Drosophila melanogaster: one gene and its partner. The protein of the gene in region 2 purifies or fractionates together with the protein of the main gene of each other region. This does not show direct contact. Each region holds a gene or a part of one and is shown on either strand. Other genes may lie near its edges. The genes, in order: pds5 and Haspin.

Region 1 (13,884 bases), 8.0 Mb from region 2:
AAATTTAACTAGGGTAAACAAACCTACCCATGTACTCCAAAGCCCTTTGCTGTGTGAAGACCTTCAGGTTGTAGGCGTCTATTAGAGAGGCACCGAATCTATTCTGCGATTTGCTGTCAATGCCAATTAGCGATTGAATTTCCTGATCGGAAACTACGCCCAGAGCTTTAAAGATCACCACAATGGGTATGTCGTCCGTCATCGAGTTGTGCTTGAGGTAGTACTTTCCATGCTTGCTCAACACCAAAGTACGTGACTTCTTTTCGTGTGTGGAGGAGGTAACCTGGCATTGCACCACACCGTTGAAGTCCTCGGTGAGCATCTTGTTCCATGACAGCTGCTCCTGAATGAGGATAACCTTCTCCTGACCTCGCACCACAAAGTAGCCGCCAGGATCTAGTGGACACTCATTCAGTTTGGACAGCTCGAACTCCGACTTGCCGGTAAGGGCGCAATTGGAGCAGCGCAGCATGAGGGGCATCCTTCCGATGAGCAAATTATTCCGCTTGATCCGCTGGGTTCCCCTCGTGTACTCGATGTCCACGGTGATGGGGGCGGAGTACGTGGTGTCCCTCAGACGGCATTCGTGCGGTGTGGTCGCTTTGGTGATGTTGAAGCCATCGTCGATGTCCGGCTTGCCCACCCGCACATCCAAGTACTTTAGGTAAAACAAAGGATCAGCTCCACTGGTAACCAGCTCGTTAGCCTTCACAATCTTTTTTATGTCCACGTTGATGAAGTGATTGAAGGAATCAATGTGCTGCTTCACTAATCCTTTTACTTGCAAGAATGCCGGCACCAATTTCCACTTCTCCGTTAGCGGCTTAATGGGCACCGACCAGTCCTTGCTGTCGCCGGGATCCCAGGTGGTGGCCTCCACGTTGTGATCGCCCATCTTTAGCTCCACCATTTCGTTATAATAATTTAATTTAAGTTTGTCAACAAAACAGCGTGCTATGAGGTTCTTCGATATGCGGTTTCTTTACCTATCGGTTATCGATATACTTGGGCAAGTGATAGCAAAGTTATTCCCATAGAGCTGGCAGTGAAATTAATTCCCGCTAAATCTAGCTTTAATTTATTTAAATTACCTCTGTGCGCGCCAATTAAAAAATTTGATAAAATAAAAATTAGAGGGTTTTCTTAAACTTAAGCCGCCTTAAATCCACGCACACATAAAGCACATTCGTTTTTTATTTTCGAATAAAAAATGCCATCAAGTAATCAAAGTGTTATCGTTGCACAGAGTCTAAACCTTCTTCACAATCTGGACCACATCCTCGTCGTTGAGAACGTGTTCGATGCCCACCTTCTGTGGCTGATGCTTCACAGATGAGCCCCAAACCAGCGCACTACGAAGGAAATACATAAATGTTATTATAACCAAGGGAACAGAGGGAAAGTGAAGCGCACTCACTATTTAAATTCCTTGGCAATGGAGCGATGCAGCTTGTTGCAGAAATCCTCAATGCTGGTGCGCTCGTTGTGGAGTACCACGGGCGAGTTGTAATCGGGCAGCTGGCCCTTGGGCTTGGTGTAGATGCGCTGCAGTCGCAGGTATTCCCACATCAGCTCCAGCAGATCGTCAAAGTTCCAGTGGTGATGGGCCGAGATGGGCACGCAATGCGGGATCTTGTAGATGACGTCCAGCTCCTCGATGGAGATCTGATCGATCTTGTTCAGCAGATATATGCAGGGTATGTAGATGCGGTTGCCCTCGATAACGTCAATGAGGTCGTCACTAGTGGCGTCGTATCTCAGGGTGATGTCCGCATTGTGGATCTTGTACTCGGATAGAATGGTCTTCACCAGATCCGTGTCCAACTCGGACTGCGGAACCATGCTGTTCAGATTGATGCCACCCTTGTCCTTCCGCTTGTAGTAGATATTTGGTGGTTTCTTGTTAAGCCGGATGCCGAAGCCCTCCAATTCATGCTCGAGGAGTTTCTTGTGGCCAAGCGGTTTCAGGCAATCCAGCACCATGAAAATGAGGTTACAGGTGCGAGCGACAGCAATCACCTGACGACCTCGACCCTTGCCATCCTTAGCGCCCTCAATGATACCGGGCAAGTCCAGCAGCTGGATCTTAGCGCCCTTGTACTTAATGCATCCCGGCACAGTGGTCAACGTTGTGAATTCGTATGCCGCCACCTCGGAGTAAACGCCAGCCAAGTTGGAGAGCAGTGTGGATTTACCCACAGAAGGAAACCCTACGAATCCCACCCGGGCATCTCCAGTCTTGGCCACCTCGAAGCCAGCTGGAAATACATAATGTTTAGTGATTGCCTGAATTATATATCCAAGAGCCTACCTTCGCCGGTTCCGCCGCCGCCTCCTTTGGGGGAAATCAGTTCGCGTCGCAGCTTAGCCAGCTTCGCCTTCAGTAGACCCAAATGGGCCGAGGTGGCCTTGTTCTTTTGGGTTCGGGCCATCTAGGATTCAGTTGAGAAGGTGGTCCAACAACCCGGTGATTTAGATAGAATCCAGGGGGGAATCCGCGGGGTAAATGGATGCGAGACAGGTTAGTTTCTGTAAGATCGGCAGGTACTCCAAGTTCCACTCACCTCCGACTCGATGGCCGAGATTTTCTCCAATATTGTGCTCATGGCTGGCTGAGAGTTAAACGCGGTTCACAGAAAACCCCAGTTATCAACAAATATGCATGTAAAAATAAAATATATAAAACTCTCGCGTGGACAGTTGGAGGTGCAATCGATATGTATTCGATACAATCGATTTGTTCAGTAATGTGGTCGATTCCCAACGTTAGCCAACACTTAACGAATCGTAAAAGTATTCTTAGACAAAATTAAAATGGTCAGGCTGATTGGAATATAGCCGTTACAATTTGATGGCTGCAAGAATGTTTGCTAAAGGTTAAGTTCCGCAATTAAATACTGAGAACTATTTATAAATTAACAAAAAATTAACATTGTTTCAGTTAAACCGCGCACCCCTCTGGGTAACAACCAAGCTCAATTTAAGAGCCAACTGACCAACAACGTCTCGCAATTGAATCGCAGTTTTCCAACGGCCGCTGAACTTTTGCGCAAAAATAGCACCCAATTGCGGCAAACAAAACTAACTGTCTGTCGTAAGGATAATAAGCTAATATACGATGGATTCGTGGAGGAAGCTGTGAAAGTTCAGCCCAAAAAGGAGAACGTTCCATCACCGATTATTCTGGAAAAATCCAGTTGCGAAATGTCAGCCAAAAAGGAATCAGCGGAGTTGCCAAGCTCCCCGATGTTGAAGCCAGGACGAAACTTAATTAGTTTAATTGGTCGCGTGGATTTCTGCCTTAAAACTCAAAAAATGTATCCGGAAATTAATGCTATTTGGAATGTTTACGGTGGGTCTGAACTGAAATACATTCAAAATCAAATTACTATATACATTTTAAACAGAATGATTAATATCGCTAAATTTGGCAAGTTAAATCATTAATTATCGTTTTTCAGGAAAATTGCTACGGATCATTGTGGGAAAACGTGGAGAACACACCTTGCTCGTGCGAAACAAAGAATCGGGGCCCGTCCTTCAGGGAATTTACTACGATTTCGAAGGCGTTATGAGTACTTGGAGCCCAGGTAAAATGCAGGAAACTGATAACCATTACATAACCAAAGTTTTATTCATTAAAAGGCTGCTTTGTCCATCTCGTGGGCCAGTTTATTGGCGAAAATCGCTTGAAAACATTTAAGATTGACCAGGTAAGCGACATTGACTGGCAACAGCAATTTCTGCGCATTGAAAATGTTACCTCGTATATTTTATTGCAAAACACTATGCAAAAGTAATTTATTTTTTAAGGATACAGTTTTCTTGAGATTTTTAGGCCAGGCGATAGTGTACTTTTCACAAGGTATAAATATGCTAGCCTAAGCTTTTCGATCCTGGCCTCCAATCAACAGTGAAATGTTTCATTTTGTACTTTTGTAGTTTACAAATCATGAATAATTTATAGAGTTAGTAACTTATAATTAATATACCTAGGAAATAAGTTAGCTTCAAAATGCCCCCTGACGATTCTCTCCAGGAGCATTGCACAGTTTCAAGGACTACAACAAATACAAATTCCGAAGTGGGCGTATAAAGTCTAATACTGGTGAACTTATTGAACTAATTGGAAGGAAATGGGTATTCAGTTCTACGAGTACAAGTCGAAGTACATGAAGACCGTGACCAGAAATCCGCAGAACAGGGCGCACAAGTAGCCCAAGTGCATCGAGGCAGTCTTCTCCTCGCGGAAACTGCAAATTGAAGTAAAGACTCCATGTTATAATGAATAATTAAAGGTGATTTCCCCAGAGCTTACCGTTTCTTGGAACGCGGCGTAAAGGGCGAGGGGGGATTTACGCCGGGCACCGCGCTGTCCAAGTACACGATTCCGTACGCGAAAGCTGCCACTAGAAGGCCACACAGCAGGGGACTCAGCCTGGAGCCCAGCTGGTGCCTGGTGGCCCACACCAAGGTCTCGTTCCACCTACTCTGCACCTGGTGGCTCAGCACCTGGATGGAATCGCCCGTGATGTATGGCACTGCAAAGAGAACGCCCAAAGCTCGTTAGTATCTCATTTTGAGTGTCGTTCTATTGATTTCACTGTTATCAGTCCTAGCGTGATAAACACGTCAAAATGTTGGGTTTATAACTAGGGTGGTTCAAATTTATTAGTCAGATATGTACGCTATGAGGGAATCAAAGCAATTTGGCTAAATGGAAAGAATTAGTGGGCAAAGAAATTTGCAAAAATGTACAGAAACCCCATTCGTTACACCATAAATAGCAAGGTTGCGCTTTTTATAGATTTGGACCGATGGGAAAGATTGGAAATAAATATTCGTTTGTATTGGTTTAATTATTTCTTTTCTCGACAATGTATAAAATTTGTTTTCTGCTTATATCAAATTTATATGTTTGAATTATTTAACAAATAGTTGATTAAACATGTGTTTTTTCTTTGAGCTTTGTTAAACTTTATTAAATTTTTTGTCGCACTTTTTTTGGAGCCACCCTAATGCAAAACCTGCAGCAAATAAAGATTGCTATATCGTCAGAAATGTAAAATTCGTTATTTTCCTGGGCCTTCTAGCGGTACCTTCTAATGTTTATATTACATACATTAGAATATACATGTATGTGTCGCGTGACGAAAGCCCAGTGCTAAATACCGTTAAGCTAAGCGTAGATGAATAACTAATAGCCGCTGGGCAAACAATTAACTAACTAATGGCATTTTGCCTCAAAGATGAAGCAACTAATCACTCTTTGACGATTTTTCTAAGGTCTTCAGTACGTTTGTATGCAAATGAGACGGCTAATGCGCATCAAACAATTTGCCTTCCTTATATAGACGTTTTTTCGCTATTCGGCGGCTTATGCAGGGGGAACAAACACCACCGCTATGAGATCACACGAACTTCAACTATTTATAAACGCGAGAATATAAACAAAGTGCGAGTAAAGACGACGCAACCGACAATTGCAACCTTGAATTCCCACCCCCGCCACACCGGGGATATACAGAAATAAACAAATGGAAATCCAATAAACCCACAATATATTTACGTTTAGCCCCCAGCTTGGCACACTTACTCGTTAAGATGACGCTTTTGTAGCCAATGATAAGAGTCCCAAAGAGAAGGGCCACCTTTTTGATCAGCGGATCGAGGGCGGTCACCACTCCCACTCGCCCCTTTTCCGAGGGTTTAGCAACACCTACGTAGTGCTCAAGTTTCGGATGCGAGGTCTTCGGCGTGGAGGTGTAGATCCGTCCGTTCGGTTGCCCGTTTTTTTTACTTCTGACTGCCGTTGAGAAAATCCCATTGGTTTTGTTTTTCTCCTGCTGGCGATGCGTGACGTCACAGCCGACTTCGGCTGGTTCCACCTGCATTTCGTGGTTTTGCCGGCGTAAGCTTTGTTTGGAATTAGTTTTCGTTGTTCGAACTGCGCGGCAAAACAACAATCAGTGTCTATTTAACTCGACAATTGTTTGGTTTATTTCACAATAGCACAAAAACAACAAGAAAAACGTCACACCCCCGAAAAAAAACAACGCAGAAAATGCAATTGGAACTAGTGATGGGAGAGTTGATGTTGCACCGTGAACTATCGACGGCCTCTTATCGATAGTTCATTTGTTATCAATATTCAAATTAGTTTTAGCCCTCCTAAGAGCGACTTTGAAATTGAAAAGAAAAAAGTTAGAAACAAAAATTATATTTTAGCCATTTTTTAAACTTACTTTATATTAAAAAAGTACAACATTTTAATAATTTAAACTAAAAGCCCATTTTCGATATCCATTTTAACATTTAAATAATAATCATACGTTTATTTGTAATTTAAAAACCATAATAATTGTTTAATGTACATGTTTTATAGTTTAATGTGTGTATTCATTTTATTTTTATCTTTGTAGTTTTCTTTCCAATTCTTACGCTTTTAGGTTTTCTTTTTGAATGCATTTTGAATGCATACTTGTTGAATTTAACGAGACAATTGTATGTATTATGATGATGTTACATTAACTAAAAATTAACTGCGATCATAGAAAAGTTAATTTTAATTACTTAATAAGGCTCTGTTTACGTTTTCATTACTTTACTTCGTACTTTAACTTATGCGCGATATACTTTCCTTTTTTTATTCGATATACAATAGTCTAAGAATAATGGTAAAATCAATCAATAAATCAAACACTATAAAAGAACAGGATAAAACATTTTAAATGATAAATAATTACTTTTACAGAGTTGCGGTTAACAGATTTTTCGACACTTTTTTCGTTTTTCTTTTTTTGATGTTTGTGTTTTTGGTGTATCTCACAAAATTGATATAGTACATACTGAATGCGAAACTGAACAATCCGAATTCTGGGTGCTTAGTTGTGAGTTGCATGGTGTGGATAAAGGTAGTGTCGGTTTAACAACTATCGTGGTCTTTCCTACGTCTTAAATATTTAGTTAACTTAGGCGCCTAGACTAAACATAACTAAACTAACAAGTATGCGCTCTCTCCACCTCCAATCTGCGCCATCCCAGCCCCTATGATTTGGCTGAAGCGGCTCCTGCGCGCGTTCGTTTGGCCATGGGCTCCGTAGTGTCAGCCGCTCGTATGTTGTCGAACAGATTGTTCTCCTGAAATCAAATTTCACACACTAGTTAGATTCATTCTCAGTATTTTCCAAGGACCTCACTCACCTGCGGATTTTCATCATCCATGATTGACTGTTCCGCCGGTCTCTTTGGAGCCACTGCTGCTCGCGACGTTGTCATTGCTGTTGCGGCAGCTTTGCTCGTGGATTTGGCTCCCAGCGTATACACGTCCAGCGGTATATAGACGTCATTGTTTTGGAAATTCGCAACGGCAGGCTCTTTATAATACATTTCTGGCAAAGCCAGCGGCATGGAAAAGGTGCTCGTGTTGCCATCAAATGGACTGAACTTGGAGTCGATAATGTACATGGCAAGATCGCAGAGCGCCCACATTTTCTGATAACCGAAAAATATATGTATAAATATAATTTAGAAGGGAAAGCCTGGGAAAATGATTGAGTGACATACATAGTTGTCGCGCTTGTCCGACCCCAGACTGAACTCGCGATGCTTTATCAGCTGCAGCAGCTGCTTGTAGAAGCTATGGACAAACGTTTCTCGTTTGGCCATCAGCGGCTCCAGAATGAAACGCAGGCACTTCTCCATCTTGCGCAGCTGTACGTAGTCCTCGTGATTCGTGAAGCGTGGATCGTGGACCAGCACGGGAATAGCGAAAGCCAGCATGTAGTCAGGTAGTATGTGTAATGATTGTGACTCCGTTGAGCTGTCGGGAGCTGGAATAATTTGATTTAATGGTTAAAATACACAATATGATTCCAAAAGTAAAACACCTACATGTCATAGCCACAGTCTTGAGATATTCCCGCCGTTTGTTTACATCCGTTTCTGCATAGTGACGCACAAGGTCTTGCAATCTGTTGAAAATATTTATCAATACTTCTCCGAACGGATCGGATGGTTTCTTGAACTACTCACTTCCTCTCAGTCTCTAGACCAGCCAGCACATACAAGCCCATGAAGTCCAGCGGCAAACAGTTCCTGGGCAAACTTCTGCTTAATCCTTTGTGCAGCTTGCGAGCAAAGATTTCCCGAACTTCTGGCACCGGATCAGCCTACGGGAACACCGAGATAGACATTGAGACTAAGTTCTAAGCACAAGATGAATGTCTCTACTCACCATCAGCTGGGAAAGCTGCAAATACTGCTCAGCGCTGTACTGATCACCTACGCCCTTTTGTTCGCACACTTTGAGCATGGCGCAGGCTGCCCCGAGGCGCAGCCAAGATTTCTCGGCACCGCAAAGACGGTTCTGGCCGAGCAAATCGCCTCGTTGGTTAACAAACGCCGCCAGCATTCGGAATGTTTTCTGGGCAGCGTGCTCATCGGTACGCAATCCCAAAAGCCACCTGGCCATAGCCTTGAGCGCATCCAGCTTACATAGAGTGTCCGGCGGTAGTTTCTCTTGGGCACACCAATCACTGTCCTCTGGCAGTTCGTAGTCTCGCTGCGCAGGAACTTCTTGGATAAGCAGCTCTTTGACAATTCGTCGCGCAATCATATTCTTAATGGGCGTTAGGAAGGCCTGTGGCATATTGTAGGCAATGTGACCCAAGGTCACAATCTTTGTGCGCTGATGCTCACAGTTTGGTGTCAGTTTTAGGCGAAGCGTCTCGATGATCTCGTTGAAAATAGGATGCACTGTTTGTGTAGTTGTGGACGCACTTCCAGCTCCACTTGTTGCTCCATCAGTGGAAGCCGACGACTGGCTGTTTACGAAAATACATCGCACCGCGTGCTTTGCTTGCTTGGGGGTTCCAATAAGTGCGAAGTCCTTGCACACCGGAGCCAGCTCGTCGAGAATAGCCGGTGTAGGGTCGTCAATGAGTGGCTGATAGCGCCCCAGATGAGTTAGTGTCTTTAGCACCAGTGGTGCAACATAATCCTGCTCGTAACTGAGCAGGGAAATTAAATGACGCAGCGAAGTATCGGTGAAGAAATGAGCCGAAAAGACGTATGAAAGCATCTGCAAGTATAAAGCAATCAAATGGATTTCTGTATCATAACTTAAATTATCTCTATACTCACGGCCAACAACTTGAGTCCGCGCTCGCCCGCTTCCTGAGCCGAAATTCCGATCTCTTCACACATGGACCCTTTCTCGATGCATTGTTCAATTAGGCTGAGCAAAAAGATTACCGGATTAAGTCTGGCAAAAGGGCACTTAAAAGCAATTTACCTAATAAGTACGCCAATAGACTCCTTGTCCACCATCACTGATGCCACGCGCTCAATCAGCATCTTAACTGTGTTGTAATACAGATTCGATTGGACGTGGGCGCCAAGCTTTTTCAGGAGAACTCCCATCGTGTCAGCACACTCCCGACAGCTTACGTCGCGTTTAAGGACAATGTTAATGCATCGTAGGAGCTGAGCATCTTTTCGCAGGTTGTTGCTAAACTGGGTTAGGTACTCTGCCGCTTTTAGGGGATCTGGAAGCAGTCTGAAGAAAAAAAAACACATCACTGGTTACAAACTATCAAAAGAAAACTTATTATAGAACCCACTTGGCAATGTTGGCCTGCTTGGCGCTGAGCTGACTAAGTACGCGCGGCGTGAACTCCTTAGAGTGGTGTAGCTTGATCCAATCACTGACCGTATTGCGTGTCTTCATTTGGTTCTTCTGCAGCTCGACGAAAGCCTTGGTGGCATTGGCATCGAGATCGCCTAGCAAATGATATAGCTTCTTCATGCGCTCTTCCGGAGCTAGTTTATAGGGAACCAGGCAGGTGATAAGTAGGCGTTCCACAAGCAGGCGGTCCTCCAAGCCCACTTTGTAGTATCCATGTAGTATCTTGTTCTTAATCCAGTCAACCCTGACCTTAAGGCCAGTGCTTAGATCGTTGGGTTCGCAAATTGCGCGCTTGTAGATGTAGGCCAGACCATTCATCGCATCCCTGCGAATTTTGTACTTCTTATCTAGCGTCCGCTCGCGCACAATTTCTAGTAGATCGGGCGCTTCGAGAACGAGGGTGAAGTCGCGCTTGGCAGTTTCCACAATAGCCATTACCACCTCGTGGCGGACCACTTCGTCAAGATCGTGATTTCGAAGCCGCAATTTCTCGGTGATATCGTGCTGAAGACTTGGGTGATTGAGCAGGAAGTGCATGGATGACTGAACACACTTGATGCGAACTGGTTCGGTGATGTCGCAGAAGCGCCCAAAGAAGATTTTCAACAGGTTGGGGTACTTTTTCGCTAGTTGCGAGTCCTTTTCGGAGAACATACGAGACAAGAGAGTGGTTGCCTCTGTAGTAACGAAAATATGTTTATTAATATGCAAATAGAGGTACATGCTGATAAATTACTCACTTAGCCTCTCAGCATCGTCCGTGGACAGCAGTTTGTTCTCCAGCTGAGGTAGCACTGAACACAACAAGCCTGCATTGATGCGGTTAAGCTCGTAAATGATATCATAGATTTTGTTTGTAATGGACAGTTTTGTGTTTGGCTTATCCATGACCAGAGCACGGTTAAAGAACTGTAGATCAGGGATTAGGTTGAATAACGTGGTGCACCAAAGATCAACGAAATATTACCATTTTGATGGTGGACTCGAGAGCATCGCCCGTTTTAGTGAGAAGTTGTTCTGTTAATTGGCAGGCAAACTTGTTGTTAGATTTGTACGGCTCTACGATGTTAATCAGAATGAGATCCAACAATTCCACCGACAGATTGTCGGCTTCTGTGATCAACGGGCTTAGCACATCTAGAAAAAAGTTAGTCACCTTGACACTGTGCTGGTCACTAGAAAATTATATAACATGTGATTATAAAGAGTTCGCAGGATAAAGGAAGAGCTCGACTTACTTGACAATCTTGAAGATGGTACTAAACAGGTCTTGGAAGATTTCTTGGCAGTCCTCCAGTTCGAAACACATATTAAAAGACTTGACAAAAGCAAGGTTCTCCAGCAGATAGAAGTAACGCTTGAAAGAGGGATCGCGCGGATCCTTCAGACCGTGCAGTTGCTTGATAAAAAACTTAAATATAGTTTTGATTTGATCTTGCTCTTTGTAGGGAGCCTCTGGCGCATAAACCCGCAGGACATCCGCCACGCAGCACGCGATTAAGAGCTGGACATCACGGGATGGATGTTGCATAAAGAAGTCGTCCAGCAGATGGAGGGCCAATGGTATGTATTGCTGGTAGAGATTGTCGTCCTGGTCCATGGTCTGCAGAACATTGGCGAGGGTCTGTAAAACAGAATCATTCTAAGTGAGAAGTTTTGCTAAGGGAACCAGGGGCAGGACTCACCTTGAGGCGCCTTATCAGCTCGTCTGTGCCCAAATCCTCGACCAGCGGCCGGCATCCGGTGGGGTACACTATGTCCGCCATCCTCACCGCCAATGGGAGCTACCTGCAAGCCAGGATTTCAAGGATTCAGTGGCAGGTGCAACAATTCCGTGCGACAGCAACAACAACGAATGCGACCCTCAAAATAACATTGAAAAAGTGGAGGAGGGTGGCATCACGAACACACAAGCACGAAGCTCCACACAAGCACACACACACATGGGCAGCAGCACCACAAGCACACAGAGTGGCCAATATTGTTTGGTTATTTCTTTTTCGCAAACAACAAATAGAGAGCGCCCAAATTGTAGCGCCCTTGCCACTGCAATTTACCCAATGTTTTATATTAAACTGCGGCGCAGTTTTTGGAACTCGGAATCTTACTTTTCACAACGGGCAGGAAGCGGCACAATTTTTTTGCAATTTTGCGAACCCCTGCTTTCGATGACCGCTTAGCGCGCGTCTCCTTCGAATCACTGCACTATGGATGGGATTGATCCTGTCCAGCTATTTACACATGTTCGGTTACAAGAGTCTTTTGCGGTGCTTATGTTGTTAAAAATAAGCAAAAACCAAGGAGCATTTATGTGGAGTGGCACGCCATTAATCCACGCACGAAGCGTTGCCAGAGGTTTTTTGGAAGTGTGGCCAGACTCTTCGCAGATTAGTACATGATTGCATTTCAGCTGATTAGCATTGACGTGTTGTTGGTGCTAGCGAGGAGAGCGGAAGGGGTCGTGTCACGAAATCGGATATATAATCGGAATGAAATCGGGATATAAATAACTTATTAAACTGTATTTATAAATTTACTTAAGAACAACATTTGAGTATCATGTTTGTTTTGCTTTGAGCATTCAGTTAGTGCTAATCACGCGCTCACCTCTAATTTTGTTTGTTGTGCTTGGCAAACAGCTGTAGCGTTGCCACATAGCCGTCGCGGCGCAAGAAGTGCAAACATAGGATAAAGATAATTGCACAATTATTGGCACCTGGAGCCGGCAAACGCTGTAACGGAATTGCCCGCGTTCAAAAGCCAATGGCGCGCATTGGCGAAACATCGGAGGAATGTGGTAATGGACGCAACACAACGTTCCGGCCGTTCTAGATGTTTTGCTTTCTAATCCAATTAAGCGTGTGCGCCCTGAAAGCGATGATGCGGGCCGGTTGTGGTCAGATGTGCGCCGTCCGTTGCAGCAGCTCTACATTCCCGAAAATATGAGCATTCTTACGTAAATATTGCATGGGCAGTGCGTATTTAAATATAGATTGTACATATAGAGACGCAATGTAAGCCAGTTGCATTTGCCAGAGGACAACCGAAAGTATTAATCAAGCAATCCAAACCGATGCGGCATAGCCGGGATTATGGCTTCCTTGCGCGTCGTCAATAGGTGGGTCATAGTTGACGTTACTTTTGTTAACCGAAACTATTTAATCCTTCCATAATCCCCGAAAGAAACAGATTAGTGTGCCGCGGTTTTGTGGCTCTTACGTTGCTGCTGGTCTTCTTCAACGAGTTTATAGTTTACTACATGGCCCAGTCCAGTTGGCAGCCAATCGATTGCAAACTAGGTAAGCCGTAACACAGTTTTTGAGTCGCATCATAACAAGCTATTTTTCCCACATAGATAATTGCACGCGCCTGCTGCTTATTGCTGATCCCCAGATACTGGGAAACTCCTACGATCGATCTTCGCACAGTCCTTTAGCCAGGTACGATTCGGATAGATACCTGGCGAAGACTTTCGAGCGAGCTCTTGCCTTTACACAGCCTCACATCATAGTGTTCCTGGGCGATCTGTTGGACGAAGGCAACATTGCCACGGCTCAAGAGTACAAGCAGTACGTTCAGCGGTTCAGACGAATTTATCAGAATAAGAACTACAAAAAAGTAAGGAGTACTGCTTTTGCTTCACCTTAAATTGTTGTTGCACCTATAATTATTTCAATTTAAAGTTTTTCCAAAGCGATTATACAACTTTGCGAATGGGATTGACCCCTTAAAACCTAACAGTTCCGCATGATCTCTGCCTTTTTTCAGCGCGTCCATGTGCCGGGTGACAATGATATTGGCGGCGAGAATGGCGACTACATATCCAACTCGAACCAAAGACGCTTTGAGAACGAATTCATGAGTGAAGACCTCTTTGACTATGACAATCGATTACGCTTCTTCAAGATAAACCGCATGCTATTGGACTTTAGCAACCCGGATAGGGATAACAATGCGGATCGTCTAAGAATTGGCGTATCCCATGCCCCGCTGCTCATTGGCGGAGGACCCCTGTTGAGAGCCATCATCAGCGACTTGGATCCACATATCATTTTCTCAGGACACTGGCATGAATCCAGAATATTTATTTACCCCTCCACCAAGGTGATCAACTTTTATGAAAACTCCGTGAGGCATTTTGACTTGAAGGCCCTCAAAGAGCAGGAGCACAGCTATCTGGAGATAATGGTGCCCAC
Region 2 (10,911 bases):
ACAGAGCAACTTTGCCTGCCATCTTAAAATAGTGGAAAGATGGTTTGCGGACTGGCGCATTAAGATAAACGAGACCAAAAGCAGACATGTAACCTTCACACTGAACAGACAAACCTGCCCACCCTGTACCCTGAACAATACATTTATCCCACAAGCAGACGTAGTAACATATCTCGGCGTTCACCTAGATAGACGCCTCACCTGGCGGCGAAATATAGAATCTAAGAGGACTCATATGAAGCTTAAAGCAGCCAATCTTCACTGGCTTATTAATTACAACTCTCCCCTTAGTCTGGAATACAAAGTACTCCTCTACAATACCGTGCTGAAACCCATCTGGACATACGGCTGTGAACTATGGGGAAACGCTTCAAAAACCAACATTGAAATCATAAAGCGAGCTCAGTCCACGATTCTGCGAACTATCACTGGGGCACCATGGTACCTACGCAGCGAAAGCATCCATAGAGACCTCCACATAAATCTTGTCAATGAGGAAATTCAGATGAAGAAAAGTAAACATCAAGCAAAGCTCGCCGCACACGAAAATCCTCTCGCGAAGTCGCTTACGCGAGTCTACAGTCAGAGCCGACTGAAGCGCAAAGATTCTTCAGCCCAGCAAAGAAATCCTAGGGCCGTTTCCAACTAATACAATTACTTCATATTGTAATTAATATAAGTTATATAATAAGATTTGAATAATTATTGTTAGTCTCACAAAAAGAGAAGATCCAATAAATTTGGATCTTTTGATTTATGCACTAGTTTAAACAAATGAACTTTTGCTTCTCTGTCTTTGTTTTTTGTTTTCTCTCTCTTTCGCAGCACTGCGAAAGTAGTTTTTGTATGCAAATTAAAATATTTATTGTTTAATTACTTAGAAAAATAATTTTTAGTTTAATATAATTTTATATTTTTTGTTGATAAACCTTTTCACTGACACTATTACACGACACTGTTTTTTTTTTTTTTTTTTTTTTTTATCCGTAATTGGAATAACGATAATGGTTATCGATCTGGTCCCGATCTTATAATTCTTACTCCTAATCCAAAAAACCTCGGCCAGAAGCTTTTCTTTTGAAAACTTCTTTAACTTTTAATTATGTCTTGAATAGGCCAGAAGCTTTTCTTAAAAAACTTCTTGAACTTTCATTTATGTTTAGAATAAAAGCTTCATACTGAAATTATTTTGCGGAGTTGAAATTAGACTGATATAGTTTGATTGAAGCGCAATAAGTTGATCATGGCTTGGTCTCCAAGCGGTAGCTGTGTTTACTTTAAGTTTGGATATTTATCTTATTGGGTAGCTTAGTGCTGGCAAAGACAATGACAAAAACAAAGACAAAGCAAATGCCGCTGAGATTGGTATTTGCAATTTGTTTATAAGCTGGGGTGGAGTGCTATATTTAAGGGTTGGATAACTTGCACATAAACTACACTGTGCACCCACTCTCTAGCTCTCCCACACAAAATCTAAGGTTCTAAGGGTGTGGACTCTTCTTTTGCGGTACTTTTAATAGCTTTCTAAAAAGTTTTAATTAAAAAAAAAAAACTTTGAATACTGATGTTCTCTTCTTTCAAAATATTTGCTGGTTATAAAAACTGAGCAGCCAAAAATGATTTTTGATAAAATGGTACACTCTGGTTTTGGCGGCCGAACCAGTGATGACCTAGCTAAGGGTCCAAACTCAAAGATACCCCCCGCAGTTGTTCCACTGAAGAAACAAATTTTCGTTTCTCGGCATTCCCCTGCTATGAATGAATGTCTATATGCCAGGTCCCGACGGAATCCCTTGTTGCGTGCTCAGATTCTGTGCGGAAGCCTTGAGCAAGTCTTTACTGAAACCGTTTAACTTATCTCTGTAATCTGCACAGTTCCCCCATATATGGAAGGGGTTCCTTGTGATTCTTCTTCATAAAAATGGTAAAATTTGATTCAAGCAATTACAGCGGAATCTCTATCCCAAATCTATCCTATATCCTATATTTATGTTCAGTTCTAATTTATCTCTCATCTGACAATTTTTTATAATAAAAATAATAAAAAATTATAAAAAAATAATAAAAATGGATCATTAACATACATAAATCATATTAAGTCAAATGACTTAATAAATATACTAAATATTTAAAGGAAGTAAAATATAAATGATTATAACTACTGTAATTTAAGATATAAATTTTCCAAAAAGAAGACATAACATTGAGAAATAAATATTTCATAAAAATAATACGAAGTAGAAAATAAAAATTTGTAAAATAAATAAAAATATGAAAACTGTTTATTGCAAAAATCACATCAAAGACACTAGAATAATTTGTTTTGGTCATATCTTGAGGCACGAAGTGCGGCCACAAGCACTCAACAATCATTGCCTTATTATTTTTTCACACTCCGCAAGCTGAATACTCTAATGACAAATATTCTAATATTAAGTCATTTTTGAAATTTATTTTGTGATGGTATGTACATAGATTTGGCTATTTCTAATCTATTTTCAAATAATAATAACGTTAAGGCAATGCAAACAAGAATTTTTCGCATGGTGCCAATTGATCAAAAATAATACAGACTTAAAGTCTAAGAACTTCTAAGGTGAAGGGCATATTTTGTCAAATTTACAATGCATGAGCATACGTGTGCACACATAAAGTTGTCTGCTATCACTGTATGCGTAGAAAAGAGCTGTTCGCTGTAGCGCTCTTCGCTCTCTCGCTCTCTAACAAAAATTCGAGAGAGCCTGGAGCCACCTCTAGAGCCACCGCGAAAAAATCGTGTGCCAAAAAATCGTATGGCGTTACGCATCTTGTTCTTCTAGTGTCTTTGACTATGGCATTCTTTATTGTTATACCCGATACTCGTGGAGTTGAAGGGTATACTAGATACATACGTTGAAAAGGATGTATATATATACTTGATCACGACCAATAGCCGAGTCGATCTAGCCATGTCCCTCTGTCCGAATGAGCGTCCAGATCTCAGGAACAATAAAAGCCAGAAGGTTGAGATTTAGCATACAGATTCTAGAGACGCAAGTCTCGTTGATATTTTGATATTCTTTCTTATTTATATTAGTTTTCTAAATTTCTATCGATTTGCAAAAAAAAAAAATTTGCCACCCCCACTCTAAAGCCCTAACACAGCCAAACCGGTCACGCCCACACTTTTAACAATTTTTTATTCCGCAATATCTATCGATATCACAGAAAAAGAATAATTTCGCGTTCGCTAGTGTGAATACTAGCTAAGTAACGGGTATCTGATAGTCGCGGAACTTGACTATAGCATTCTTTATTGTTTTTAACTATGTATGTTTATATTATTTTTATGAAATATATTTTTTAAAATGTATTTTCTTTTTTGAAAATTTATGTTTTAAATTACAAAAGATATAAAAAAAATTTTAAATCGCAAATTTATTTTATTTTTAAGTTGAAATAATGATAAACTTAATTATAAGGATGTATAAGATACTGCTTACAGTCCCCTTTTAAAGGATGTCGTCAGTGCCTTATACATATTAATTTAAAAAGATTATAGTAAAGTCATTATTATACACGTAACTCGCTGAGTAAAAGGGTATAATACATTTGATGATATCAATGCCACCACGGCGTTCCACGAAATGAATTCGACTATGTAGCAGGTATAGCTACAAATTCTCCACTTTTCACGCCTCAACTTATAAGCTACACTTCCATCTCCTACTTCAACACTTATTAAAACTAAATTAGAATAGCTAGCAACACGAAGAACTGCACAGCGAGCAAACAACTCTTACAAGACCTACGATTTCGACATACCAGATTGACCCACACGATTACATTACTTTCGCCACCATCGAACCAATGCCAAATTAGCCATTACACAGATACAGATCCAAGCGAATGCACATTTCATAAAATGCGATCACCAATTTTCTACAGTTTCTTAAAAATGCCTTAAGCTATAAAAATATATTAATTTGAAGAGATATTGAAAACCTTTTAAAAACACGTTTAGTCAGTTAATTAGTTTAGAACTCGCTTTTGAGTATGATCTTAAATCTTTTTTTTAAGTTAAGCTTAACTTAACTTACCTTTTGTATGCTCACAAATCCATTCGTAGAATTAGTTTTACTTGTTCGAAGGCTGCACATTTTTTTAGTTATAATTATTTCTGGTAAAATTTGACTGAATGTTTTTTGCTTTTCTCCATTAATTACAGTGGAACCCTCCAAAGGTATAATCTTTAATACAATATCAGAGATGTGGTCTTTCAGTACTTCTTGATTTCTCGAACAACGAAATACTTCTCCATAAGCCCCTTCGCCAATCTTCTTAGTATTCAATAATTTATGTTGTTCGTATGCAGTATTAAACGGAAGTGGTGTACACTGATGGCAATATTTAAGAACATCTTCTTCATATTTATTCTCAAATTTATGTTCGCCTTTCAAAACTAATGATTTTCGATCCTGGCATATTGAGCTTCGACGTTCTACCTTTTTCGTGAAATTTGTTTCGGTTATTTTTGATCTGATAAAATTGTTTAGCGATTTTCTCCATTTTCCCGGATTTAATGAAATCGAAGGGTGTACAGCAGTAACCATCTTATTTAAATTACTCAATCGTTTTTTCCCAAAATTAGAACATTTTTTAGGGCTGGAATTTATGTTTTGAAAAAGAATTTCAACATTTACATATAAATCTGCCTCATTAGTATCAGCGCATTTGTCTCTACTGTCTTCCACACCTTCAAGTTTTAAGCGAGTAATTGGAGAGAGGTCGGTTTCAAATAATCCTGTTGTGCCTCCTAATCGTTTATCGCAAGGAGTTGATATAGAATCACTGGGGCAATACACTTTTATAGAGCAATCTTCAAGAGTTAAAGGTTCGTTTTTGTGATTTGGTTCTTTTATTTCTATATAGCTGCTATTTTCAACACTAGAGTCAATGTTATAGGTTACTCGTACATTTTGTTTTACTATGTTCATTTTACTTAGTTTCCTAGAAGCAAATCTATTATTTCAATTCAAATTCATTAAATGTGTATGCTCTTACGTTCTGGAGTCCAAAAGTTCATCAAACGGATCCTTCCATCTACCTTCCTCTAAAAAATCCATTTTTGTTTTGCTAATGCTGAGCATTAAATTAAATGCTCTATGTATTTTCAATTTTTAAAGAATTACGATTGATGGTTCGATAACAGCCGCAATCGATAATGTAAAACTTGCTTTTTACCGATAAGTACTATATAGGTTAATTGCACAACTGTTGCGCAGCACATTAACGTCAATGAAGTTAGCGACGATGGCATATGGAACACGGTGACGTTGTTTATTTATTTGCTTATAATTTGTAGTTGTATTTAAAAAAAAAAGTTCTAACTATTTTTATACGACTTAAGCTTAACTAATTTAAGTTTACTAATTATTTCTGCAAAAATTTTAATTACAATTTGATCCACAGTTTTTGATTAGATTGCATTTTTCTGTTACGATACGTGTTTTACATTCACTGTCTTCGATCCTGAGCTAGATATGTACCAGAAAAATGGACATGTATAAAAAATAGCGACGCTAACCTTAAATATTTGTTACTCCGCTCACAGAGCGTTTTCCAAGTAAAGTTTTCAATAGTTTTTAATTAATTTAATTTAATTTAATTTTAATTATTTATGCAAAAACTTGCATGTAAATTTGGCCCACAGCTTGTATAGAGACTGCATTTTCTATTCCAAGTTCTTGCTAAATCAAGAAAAAAAGGTACACAGTAATATGCATACTGCAATGCTAAGGTCGCTTTTGATATGAGGCCAAAGTCTTAAGTCTCAGGCTAGTAACCACAACTAGCAGCTGTTTTGTAAAGGGCGCACTTGTAATCTCATATATCAGTTTCGAGTGCTTATATACCGTTACTCGTAGAGTAAAAGGGTATACTAGATTCGTTGAGAAGTATATCACAGGCAGAAGGACTATATATTTTCGACTATATAAAGTATATATCTTCTTGAACAGGATCAATAGCCGAGTCCATCTGGACATGTCCGTCTGTCCGTATGAACTCGAGATCTCAGGAACTATAAGATCTAATAGGTTGAGATTTAGCATAAAGATTCTAGAGACGCTGCGCGTGTTTGTTGACCCATGATGCAAAGCCTACAAAAACCGCACCAAACTTTCTCGCCCACACTTTTTTAAAATGTGTTGATATTTCTTCACATTTATTTTATTCTTGTATTTTTGTATATAATTCCTATCGACTTGCATAAAAAAAATAAAATAAAAAAATGCCACGCCCACTCAAACGCCCTAAACAGCCCAAAACTGCCACTCCACATTTTTGAAAAATTTTTTTATACCTTCTATTAATTTTATTAGTCATGTAAATTTCGATCAATTTGCACAAAAATGTTTACCTAGCCCCCTCTAACGCTGTACGCCCTTTCTCATTTTATTCCCCATCCTCATTAAATTTATCGATATCGCAGAAAATTATGAAATATCCCGTTCGCACTATCACTAGCTGAGTAACGGGTATCTGATTGTCGGGAAACTCTTATCACTGGAGGTAGTTTCCACCAGCCGCAGTGACATTTCAGGGAAACGAGTAGCAGCCCATCGGAAGACTTAACTCACCCTCCACTGGGCTAAATAAAAATAATTCGTGTAATATCCGAACATATCATCCCAAAGAATTATTATTAGATAATAGCCTAGTCAATTGATACATTAAACTTTTTCAAATTTTGTTAAATATTGGAAATATGACAATACAGATATACAAAGGACTTTTTCATTTTCCCACACGTATATTATGTATATTATATATATTTATATTTCTCACGATTTCAAAAGATTAATTTGTACTATGATTTTAATTTAACAGGGTTTCAAGATTACGTCTATAAGATGAGATTTTCCTTATGCTATGTTTACTATATATTTTATATTTTCTTTAAGTAAACTGCTTATCAGCCGAAATAGTTTACTTCTTAGTTAGTGTTGAGCTAAAATGTTTTTTATTAGCTATTTTTGAGCAATTAAAAGACAGGGTTTATTATGTGATTTCGAACGATATGTTTTATTGACTGTAGCGAACGAGATTTTGCTTTAGCAGAAGGCCAAGTGTAGATCCGAAAGAGTAAAATAGAAAGAGCTCTCGATAGAGGGGAGCTTAGATAACTAAAGATAATGCTGCACAGCTCAGGTGCCGTAAAACTTATTGCTTCTCCAAAGTTGGCATCAAAATAAGACAGTAAGTTTAAAGTATTCAAATTTGCCAAATAATTAATTGAACCTGCACTTAGACTGTATTTCCAAAAAAACTTATTACTGCCTTCGGAACTGTTTTTTTTTTCATTTTTTCTCTCTCTTTCTTTAAAACAAATTGTTGATAATAGTGGGTCCGAGGAATCAATCGCTCTGTGGAAAATATCACTCATCGTATTGAACCGACTATTTTTCCTTGCATATTGATTTGAATTCCGTGGACCAGTACTTTATGGATCGTTGGTGACATAGGATACCATTGACATGTTTGCATATATAATTGAAAAGTTATATCACAAAGAGAACGAAATTGTCGGAATTTATAAAAAAGTTGGATGATATTGCTATTAAAATAATGTGAAACTTTTCCAAAAGATTTTTGTTGAAGCTGGTAACCGACGAGAATTTGCCGCTGTCATTCTGCTTCGGCATGCTTACTCGAAGGCCCATTTCTATGTACATTTCGTCCTGGTTATATTTTTTTCGAATACTTATTTTAACCTTGTCCTCTCCTTTTAAATGCCACTTTTTATCTCGGCATGATACGTTTATCTCGGTATGATACGTTAAAAACAAAACACAAAAACCGGATCCGAGCACGTAATGGACTTACCCCGAATTGTAAAGCTTTTACTTTTTGTGCAAGGGTTTCTGAACTAAATTTTGTAATTTTTAACATTTGTGTTGGGCTGACTTCACAGATCAGACAACATTGAGTAGATTTAGTGTCCGTTAATACGTTTAGGACTAATTTTTTCCATCATTATTTGGACAGCAGTTTCCTTTATCAACTCAATTTTTAGAGGCCTGAAAAATCGAATGGACTGCAGTGCTCTGTTTATCCAGATATGCCCATTAAACGAATATATAATTTGCATGGGTATAACAGAAGTTACAAATAAAGATTGATCTGAAATTAGTGTGCCAAGGTCTTCAGTTTCAAATTTCTGTTGTACTGTAATTTTGCTTCGATCCCTTCATTATAGGGCGGATATATGTCGCTGTTATGGCTTTTATTTAAAAGCCTGGTGCTTATATATTGCTGTTTTGTCCGCGTGTTTTCCAGAAGATAAGTTCGAGCTTCATCTGGTGAAAGAGGAGTTGGTTTTTGCCATTGAATTTGCATCCTCGATTCGCTTGGAAATTCTGGTGTTTTTAAAGTTTCTTTAAGAACAAAGGCAACGTTCAAGAGGAACGAGCATTCTTTTCTAGCAAAAACAGTTGCTGCATGAATCAAAAGATTTGTGTCGTGATTACTTTCACTTGCCATGCTGGATGCCAGCTTCATTTTTAATCTTTCTTCTGCATTTTTGTAAGATAAGTTTCGGCGTACCATTTTCTGTGGTGTCTTGGAGTTTTTAAAATCACTAACAAGAATTGTTATCTCAGACGCCATCCACTTATTATGTTTGGAATAAATCGGTCTAGTTGTCTGTTACACTCGGGCAGTTTTCTTTTAATGATAATTCAAAATTTTATATTTTTTTGCCAACTTTTTCAGTCATTTCTGTCTTTTTCCATTCCAGATTTTGATTGCTGATTGCGGAAGAAATGTAATCTGAAACATAACTTATTAGCCGATTGTTTCGCCTCCAACTGTACAGGAGGTCGCTATGTCTGGACTCGAACATGTCTATATAAAATCAAATTTTAAGAAAACGAGCAAGAATCGGCAAAAATATTACTTTACCGTCAAAGACAATAGTTTAACAATAGTTAAAGGTATAAATTGACGTTTTAAACTTTTGTCAGAAATTGTCAGAAAATTAGTTATATTCCACGAAACACAGTGGACACGTTAGAATTTTCTACACATAAATTGGATGTTACACATGTTACATACCTTAAAAACAACATACCTTGGCATTTATTTTTCATATTTTACTATAATTTATGGATGCATATTAAGATTCGTACCACGTGCAAAAGTAAGAAAATAATTTGGCGGGAATGGCCTTTTCTTAATCAGCTGTTTAACACTGCACCTTTAAAAGCTCATAAAACGATTTAGTGAAGCTTTCGGTCAATTTTGTTTTTGTTTTTTATTTATATGATCCATTTTGCCAGGGGCCTCATCGACATATATATATTTTTTTTTTCTGTTACCACATTTCATTACCGTGTTTTTGAGATGCGGCCCAAGATGAGCCGTTTATTCAGTGTGATACCTAGATATGTTGCTGGCAGCGGCTGATTCAGGGTAACTCCTTCTAGCCGGATTTGAGGGGTGTTCGGGATAAGCGTTTTAATGTGAAGCATGGATTTGTTGTTTTCATTGGGTTTATTTTTAGGTTCCACCGTTTACACCAGGCTGCCAGAGCATTAATATATTCTTGTAGTCCGTTAGCTACCTCTCTGCTGTCCCTAGAGTTATATACAACTGCGATGTCATCTGCATAGGTTGCAATAAGAGCCCTGTTCGGTGCTTCCATGTGTTCGAAACTCGGGCAAGGGATATCAGCAGTGTACAAGGAATATAGTAGCGGTCCGAGAACACTGCCCTGTGGGACTCCAGCTCTCATTGGGATTTAGAGGAGTAGCTATTTCTCACCGTGATTTTAAATTGTCGTTCTTCCAGATATGACTTTAAAGTACAGAAGTGGGGCGCAGGTAGAAGGGTCTTTATCTTGCAAAATAATCCAACATGCCATACTTTGTCGAAGGCTTGTTGCATATCTATAACGACAGCGTTGGAGTACTCGCAGTCGTCAACAGCCCGTAATATGGTTTGACCAGTCTGTGGACCTGTTCAATAGTTGCGTGTCCCTTTCGAAATCCAAATTGATGATCCGGCAAGATATTGCCTTGTCTTATAATGCCGACATATATTAAAAGCAGAAAAGTTACGAGAATGTTTGAGTGAATGTTCACTGTAGAGGTGCGACACCGACGTATTCCTAATGTGCGATGTCCGTAAAGTTAATGGGGTTGTTTACCTGTTTTTTCTTTAATTCGTTTGGTTATTAGAGTTCGTAGGTGTGTAGAGTTGTGAGACGGCGATAGCTATCGATATTTATTTTGCGGTATGTGTGGCATGGGGAAAATTCCTTCCTAGGAAAAGCTTGAGACAGCAGTCTAAATGGCGGGCATATAGGATATGTAAAACAATGTAATAACGATTTTTCCACGACTTGCCAAAAACTTTTTGCCCAGCCCACAAAACCCCACAAACTGTCATGACCACAATTTAATTGATATTTTATACTCGTTACTATAGTCGACTTCCCCGACTATTAGATACCCGTTACTCAGCTAGCGTGAATGCGATCGCGAAATTTCATAATATTACTGTGATATCGATAGACATTGGGGAATAATATAAGCGACTAATAAAATGATAAAAAGAATAATTTTTCAAATTAGTGGGCATGACAGTTTTGTGCGGTTTGTGGGCGTTAAAGTAGGAACATGAGTGAAGAGTTTTTACTGTTGCCCAATTGTCTTGGCGAAGCCTGCCCGTTTGAGTCGTCTTAGAGGTCGAGTGGGGGATAAGACGTCCTGCAAGAAGACTGCTATGGCTCGGTAATCTGTCACTATTTTTATATTTCTTTGTTTATTTAGAAGCGATGAACCCATACAATGCAGTAATAGTAACATAACAGCGCAATTAACAAGTAAATAATAAGACCAAACCTCGCACTAAGCATGTGAGGACTTA

Evidence for each region.
Region 1: the proteins of Haspin (region 2) and pds5 purify together in Drosophila melanogaster (affinity purification with western blotting, with the first as the bait; one study listed by BioGRID). This does not show direct contact.

Annotation. Positions count from the first base shown.
Region 1 is NT_033778.4:12,026,145-12,040,028, reverse strand, and holds pds5 (precocious dissociation of sisters 5), read right to left. Parts: upstream 12,045-13,884; 5' UTR 11,797-12,044; intron 11,735-11,796; exon of another isoform or gene 11,477-11,734; 5' UTR 11,455-11,476; coding exon 11,374-11,454; intron 11,313-11,373; coding exon 10,927-11,312; intron 10,864-10,926; coding exon 10,656-10,863; intron 10,598-10,655; coding exon 10,429-10,597; intron 10,366-10,428; coding exon 9,624-10,365; intron 9,560-9,623; coding exon 9,296-9,559; intron 9,239-9,295; coding exon 9,145-9,238; intron 9,083-9,144; coding exon 8,237-9,082; intron 8,172-8,236; coding exon 8,035-8,171; intron 7,974-8,034; coding exon 7,894-7,973; intron 7,833-7,893; coding exon 7,567-7,832; intron 7,495-7,566; coding exon 7,204-7,494; intron 7,141-7,203; coding exon 7,048-7,140; 3' UTR 6,304-7,047; downstream 1-6,303. Other genes in the region: Polr3B (RNA polymerase III subunit B), read right to left, coding at 28-910; 128up (upstream of RpIII128), read right to left, coding at 1,250-1,352, 1,418-2,258, 2,312-2,432, 2,565-2,606; CG43191 (uncharacterized protein), read left to right, coding at 2,864-2,876, 2,942-3,352, 3,462-3,590, 3,646-3,800; CG8321 (uncharacterized protein), read right to left, coding at 4,151-4,253, 4,319-4,541, 5,597-5,894; Mppe (metallophosphoesterase), read left to right, coding at 12,781-12,806, 12,872-12,987, 13,044-13,306, 13,430-13,884.
Region 2 is NT_033778.4:4,008,383-4,019,293, reverse strand, and holds the start of Haspin (haspin), read right to left. Parts: upstream 5,184-10,911; 5' UTR 5,130-5,183; coding exon 5,044-5,129; intron 4,990-5,043; coding exon 4,080-4,989; intron 1-4,079. UniProt on the Drosophila melanogaster protein: Serine/threonine-protein kinase that phosphorylates histone H3 at 'Thr-4' (H3T3ph) during mitosis and interphase.